Linked DNA regions of Rattus norvegicus. The protein of the gene in region 1 purifies or fractionates together with the protein of each later gene. This does not show direct contact. Links are inferred from orthologs where the notes say so. Each region holds a gene or a part of one and is shown in the gene's direction. Other genes may lie near its edges.

Region 1 (3,500 bases):
CCTGGAAGGTAAGAGGCCCTGTTAAGTTGACAAACTCGGGTAAGTGTAAGCTATGGTGCAGTGAAACCACCAAATTAGACTACTCCATGGGTAGAAGAAAAACTGTGTATTAGGTCACACTGCCAAGGCTATCTCTAGATTGGGCGGACACAGAGAGAAACAAAATGGCAGGAAAGCATGAGGATTTTGTATGGTAGTCTCACAAAGTCTCTTCTAGCTCAGGGAGACATTGCAAACCTCCTGTCCCCCTTTTGTTTTTGTTTTTGAGAGAGAGGATTTTTCTGTGTCTTTCTGGCTGTCCTGGAACTCATTATGTAAACTGGGCTATCCTTGAACTCACATAGATCTTCCTGCCTCTGCCTCCTGAGTGCTGGGATTAAAGGAGTGTGCTACCACGTCCAGCTACAAGTCCTTTTAAAAATGTGTATTGGTTCATGAGTGAATTTTAAGAACCAAAATTTTGGGTTAATTTGCTGTCAGAAAACATAACATAATGGGTTTACCTGTTGAAGTGCATGTCCTGAGAAATGCTTCTGGATGACAATGGAGTGGACATGTCAAATTGTACAGACTAGCCGTGTCTCCCAGCCCCTGTGCTGATCCACCGGTACCACTGGCTGGTTGTCCAATAGTGTTCTCAGGTTGTGCTCCCCACACGCACCCAGCTTCATTAGGAACTCGCTGGTATTTGGTTCAAATCAGAATCAGCAACTTTGGTAGATAGGGCCCTGCAGTTTGTACGTCGCCTGGCATGTATCTTCCTTTCTGTCTGTCGACATCCCCTCACTTCCCTTCTGGTGCTTCTGGTGCTTCCTGAAGCTTAGGAATGCCTATGTCTAAGACAGCTGTTTGAAGCTTATAGTGAGACACGGTAGACGCCTGAGTGTGGCTTCTTTAGTGTTTGGTCTAACTGCTGTTTGCAGGATGCAGGTCTTACTGCCACTCTTGGAAAGTTCCACATTAATTGAAAGAGTCGTTATTATTTTGGGTGTCAATGGGGGGGGTGGGATCTATCCAGTATATTTTAGAGGACAAAGGCAGCATAAACTGTAGATGCTGACGGTACCCTTGCAGTCTGGAAAGAGGATGAGGTAGCAGACATGGAGCTTCCTCGTTCTTACCTGTCTTGCTGGCAGGAATACACTGTAGTAGAAACAGAGCTGCTGTTAGTGTAGCTAGTTGGAAGTGTGGACCAAGAGTTTGGACGTACGGCTTAGTTGGGACCTTACCATTTATGAACAGCATGGGTTCAGGCAAATGGTATAGTTTCTTGAAAAGGCCTAGGGGGGTTTATTGTTGTTACTTGTGGTTGGTTTTTTTTCCTGGAAGCTTGGATTTCTAGTTCAGAATTATTTTCTGTCCTATCAATGATATATCAAGGCCAAAACAAAGTGTTGGCATACATTCTTTACTGATCTATTATGATAAAATGTAATTATATAACTCCCCCCAAGCAATTACAGCTAATTTTTTGAAGTGAGGAACATTTATAGCTTTGAACTATATTATCTACACCATGGGTAATGATCAGGAAGACAGCTTGTTTTTTATAGAAAATACCTTGGGCTTCATTTGTCAGGTTCTGGGTTCAAATTCTGACTTCATTTACTAGCTGAAGCCTAACTTTCAGGCATTCATTGCCTCACTCTAAGTTGGAGCTGTTGTGTGTTTTTAAGAGGTAAATTATTTGCAGGGTTTCCACATGGATTCTGAAGGGCGTGAGGCTAGAGCTTAGATTTTACTACTTAGTGGTGAGAACAGTCCGCCATGAGGAACTAGGTGGATGCCTCAGTTTCCATTTTACTGCGTACCAGGAGGGACTGGACAGGCTCTTTTGCACCTTGGCTTACTTGAAAGTAGCACAACTATGGCGTGAGAAACCCTCCTGGCATTTGGATTTTATCATGACAGCTCAGGACACGATCTGTTTGCTTTAGGGGATGATGAGCAGAGTGATTGGTTTTATGAAGGAGAATGTGTCCCCGGATTCACTGTCCATAACCTTCTGCCCAAGTGGGCTCCTGATCACTGCACTGAAGTAGAAAGGATGGACTCCGGACTGGATAAACTCTCAGATTCCACATTCCTTTTACCTTCCCGGCCAGCTCAAAGAGGTGAGTTTGGAGAAGATGAAAGACCAGGTCATGGCTTTATGGTTCGCTATGGGACGACTCAGCATGCTTTGCTCAAGCTCTTGCACACCTCTGATCCTGCATTGCTCTCTGAATCGTGCAGTTTCCTTAGGGTTCTAGGGGATTCAAGGGTGAGTCTCAAAGCTCAGAGTTCTCCTTCTCCTAAGTCAGTCCATGTAGGCTCTTGGGACACATCCGCAGTGTGTGCTGTGTTAGGAGCCTGATATCAGTCACAGCCACATATCAGGGTAATGCCAATGCATTACTTTTTCAGTGCTTGTTGGAAGCTTGAAAGTTTGGCTCTGACAAGGAGCAGGCTTTTGTAAGGACATTCACATACAAGAATCGATGACATTTTTAAGTGGATGGTCTAAAAATACTTCTTTAAATGTATTTGTTTTAATGATCCTCTCATTGTGTACTTTGACACAGATGCATACCTCCTTTTCTTCAGTTCTAAAGTAGCAGAACAGGGTAGAAAGGGCCCATGGCAGGGGATAGAAATGAGATGGTCCTTCTATTTTAGTTAGCTCCATGCTCTTGACCAAGTCACTTTACTTTCAGGACTATCAGAGCCATTGTCTAAGATGTGTGACAAGGAAGAGTACTGTTGTGCTCTGTAAATTTAGGACTCTCGGGAGGTGGCAATCAACCATTGTCTGGTATCTGTTGGTGCTTAGTGTGGCTTCCCTGCCATCATACTGCTTAGGACAAAGATTTGGGCATAGTAAGTCTTTTTCAGATAACCTTGTGCCGATGCTGGGTCAAGCTCCAGTGTGCTGTAACATCTGTGCTTGCACAGTTTGTGCTTACGCAGTCTGTGCCTTCAGTAACTGAGGCCTTCTTTCCACAGGATACCATGGTCGCCTGAATCGGTTGCCAGGAGCTGCAGCTCGGTGCCTCAGGAAGGGGCGGAGAAGGCTGGCTGGGAAGGTGACAGATCTCATGGTTTCTCCAGTGCTGTGGGAAGGTGTTAGTCCCCATGGGATTTGCGTGCCCTACTGACAGTTGAAGGCATCACAGGACTCTCTGGAGTTAATGAATCAACTGAATGTTCTGGGAGTTAAGAAGGGTGAATGACCATTATGTGGGATTTGAATGGATACAAATGTGAAAGATAAGCACTTTATCAACACAGAAGTTCTGACCAAACAGACATTCCTTGTAGCCTCCATAGTATGTAAACCTGCTGGCTGATCTCTCTCTCTCTCTCTCTCTCTCTCTCTCTCTCTCTCTCTCTTTCCTGCACTTGTGGCTAATCCTATATTACTGTATAAGTTAAAAATCTCTGACTTCTTTACAACTCCTGAATTCAGGAGTTTTTTTTATCCTAAGGTGACTTTTTATCCTAGAAATGATTTAAAGGGA
Region 2 (3,500 bases), on another chromosome or scaffold:
CTTCTAAGTGCTAGGACTCCTACTAAGAAATGGAAGACAAACGGGGTTGGGGACTTAGCTCAGTGGTAGAGCGCTTGCCTAGGAAGCGCAAGGCCCTGGGTTCGGTCCCCAGCTCCGAAAAAAAAGAACCAAAAAAAAAAAAAAAAAAAAAAGAAATGGAAGACAAGCCATGTGTGGACATGGAAATCTCTAATCCTCTAATCACAACACCTGGAAGGCTGAGGCAGGAGGATCATTGAACTTGAAGCCAGCCTGACAATCATGAGATCCTGTGCAAATAAATAGAAGACAAAATCATAATGTTACAGGGGGAAAAATGTTACTCTGGTTAAAGCATGTACTTAAAATTTTTTTAAATTACTTCTTTCTGGTTTATATGTAAGCGTGTTTTATCTGTTTACGTGTACATACCATGTGTGTATTGATGACTGCAGAGTCACAATAGGGTTTTCTGAAACTGGAGTGAGGGATGGGTGTGAGCCACCATGTGATTGTCAGAAATTGAACTCTAGAGGAGCTGACGCCATTTCCCCAGCCCTGAATATATTTACTTTGGCGACAAATCTGGGAAAACTATGTTTCTTTGAATAAGAAATGAACAACTGATTTTTCTGAATTAAGTTTTACAATAAATACTAAGGATGCTGAGTTTTCAGGTACAGTAGATTGTGTGGTTTAGAGTTTTGTTTGTTTGACAAGGTCTTGCTGCACAGCCCTGGCTGGCCTCAGGCTGAGTGCTAGGATTGCAGATGTACACCACCATGGCCAGCCCCACTGCAGCATGCTATAAGGAAATGCTTGCCTGGCGTCTTCACACATTATTATAGGAAACCACTTGTTTCTAGAGCCAACTCTCTCATTCTGTCCACCAGGCTGCACTCATAGTTGGGAAAAAAACGGGCCATAAGAATAATCCAGAAAGATTGAACCAATTCTCACTCAGATGTAGAAGTTTTAAACAAATTCTGTTTATCTAATGATTGAGCAGTTTGGTGTCAGTACATCGTGGTTATAACTGGGTGTGGGGGGGTTGAAGAAGCGTCAGTTATATGAAGTGGGTGCCTCCAAGAATGAGCTTCAGCTGCTTCACACTGGTTTAAGGAGTCACTGGTGTTGGGTCTAGTAGAGGAGAATTTTTTGTGTAGTTTAGTCTCAGAATAGTAATGATACACTGTTTTTCTTAGGCATTCACGGAAGCGCTGGGAAAACTTTATCCATAGTGAGAACAGACACCTTGTCAGCCCCGAGGCCCTTGATCTTCTTGACAAGCTCCTGCGGTACGACCATCAACAGAGATTGACCGCCAAAGAGGCCATGGAGCACCCGTACTTCTGTGAGTTTTTGTTTTGTTTTTAAGAATTATTATGTATGAAAGTACACTGTAGCTATCTTCGTGCACACAAGAAGAGGTGTCAGAGCTCATTACAGATGGTTGTGAGCCATGTGGTTGCTGGAAATTGAACTCAGAACCTCTGGAAAGCAGTTGGTGGTTTTAACCTCTGAGCCATCTCTCCAGCCATTGCCCCCCATGTGCTTCTAAAGGAAGCAATGTGTGAATAAGAGGGCTCTGAGGTGAGGGAACAGGCAGGTGTGACAACTGGACTCTGACCTTTGACATCTTCCATAGAGCACACGTGCTCCTTCTGGACCTGCTTATCGTTTGAATGTTAGTAGTTCTCCCCATTGAAATTTCACACACACCTTACCCATGTACTTGAAGAGGTAGCTGAGTCTAGTCATGGAAGAGGCTGAGAGAGATGAAGTTGAGTAGACTTAGTTCTCTCTGAATCAAGATGAACTCTGTCCTGTAAGGCTTCTGTGTGTTGTTTGACTACTATGTGTTCTTTTCCTTTTTACCTCTGGAGTTAACTAATTCCTAATAATAACTAACACGAAGAATATGTTGCTACAGTTTCAAATTTACAGCAGAAGTTTAAGGACAAAAAATATACAGGGTCAGGTTGGGGATTTAGCTCAGTGGTAGCGCTTGGCAAGCGCAAGGCCCTGGGTTCGGTACCCAGCTCCGAAAAAAAGAAAAGGGAACAAAAGAAAAAGAAAAAAAAAAGAAAAAGAAAAAAATATATACAGGGTCTTCTCTTTCAGCCTTCTATGGCTGAACAGGCAACATTCAATTGTCTGCTTTCTAATTTCCAACACAGAGCTGCTTTTACCCTATGGGGTTGGCCACTGTAAGGATATTGGTATAGCCCGGAGTGGTGGCACACACCTTTAAGTCGGCCGTTCAGGAGGTAGTCAGATCTTTGAGGCCTGTCTTTAATTTAAATAGCCAGGTAATCCCAGAACTCGAGAGGCAGAGGCAGGTGGATCCCTGAGTTCAAGGCCAGTCTGAACTACAAAGTGAGTTCCAGTATAGTCAGCCAGGGCTACACACAGAAAACCTGACTCAAACAGAAACAATGAAACAGAAAACAATACTAATGTAAACTCATAAGGCACGCATATGCATGAGGACTGTACATTTGAGGCCATCTAAGGTATGTAGTGAGATCTGTCTCAGAAATAATAATGAAAACAACCTGATGAAGGTTCCATCCACATAATTCATTATTTGATTAAATAAGCTCAGTATTTGACTGCCCCTTACAGTGGCTGCCTGCCATTGGCTCTTTCATTCACCTTTTCACACATGCTTGTCACTGTATGACACTGGTACTCAAGGAAGGAATTGGTATAAATTTGAACAGTGCTAAGTTAGAATTTCTGTGCTTTTCAGCAGTTGGGTCTATATTCTAAGGGAATAGAAAAATTACCTAGAAAAAAATTCCCCGGGGTTGGGGATTTAGCTCAGTGGTAGAGTGCTTGCCTAGCAAGCGCAAGGCCCTGGGTTCAGTCCCCAGCTCCGGGGGAGGGGGGTTCCCCAGTGGGCATGAGGCCACCGTGGCTAAGCTGGAGGATCATCGGGGTGAAGAAGAGTGAGTTCAGGGCTTCTCTGAGCACCTTGTAAAACTTCATCCCAAAATCAAATGTTCAGTGGGAGGTGAGGAGGTGACTTGGTGGTAGATTGATTGCCATAGCATGTGTGAAACTGTGGGTTCTAGACCCTGCTCTGAGGGGGGAAAATAAGGAACTATTTCCTGATCCTGGCTTGGTGCCTGGTTTTGTTTTGTTTTTTTTTTTATAACCCGGGTCCCACATAAATGTGTCTGTCTTGGTACTGTGGAAAAAGAAAGGCAGTTGGCTATTATGGTGTTCTCTCTATAACCTCAGTGCTTGTGCTCATGTGGGAAACCTGTGCTCCTCTCTTGCAGACCCGGTGGTGAAGGAGCAGTCCCAGCCTTGTGCTGAGAACACCGTGCTTTCCAGTGGTCTCACCGCAGCACGATGAAGCCTGGGGAATCGACGGTAATGCGGCACTGATGCTTGCCCATAAAAACCAACCACCAAACAAAAACTTGAAGGAAACTGCAGTGTGATAAACAGAGATTCTAATCCTTCCTTCTAAAGGCAAAGAAGAGTAAAGACCTAAGTCTGTCAAAGCA

The links. The genes of interacting proteins can lie anywhere in the genome.
Region 2: the proteins of Gpatch2l (region 1) and Csnk2a2 purify together in Homo sapiens (affinity purification with mass spectrometry; 5 studies listed by BioGRID and IntAct, counting the BioPlex papers as one, with this or other methods). This does not show direct contact. The link is inferred for Rattus norvegicus from reciprocal best matches to the Homo sapiens genes GPATCH2L and CSNK2A2.

Annotation. Positions count from the first base shown.
Region 1 is NC_086024.1:111,631,431-111,634,930, forward strand, and holds part of Gpatch2l (G patch domain-containing protein 2-like), read left to right. Parts: intron 1-1,937; coding exon 1,938-2,114; intron 2,115-2,985; coding exon 2,986-3,065; intron 3,066-3,500.
Region 2 is NC_086037.1:9,593,340-9,596,839, forward strand, and holds part of Csnk2a2 (casein kinase II subunit alpha'), read left to right. Parts: intron 1-1,184; coding exon 1,185-1,333; intron 1,334-3,269; coding exon 3,270-3,346; 3' UTR 3,347-3,363; exon of another isoform or gene 3,364-3,500.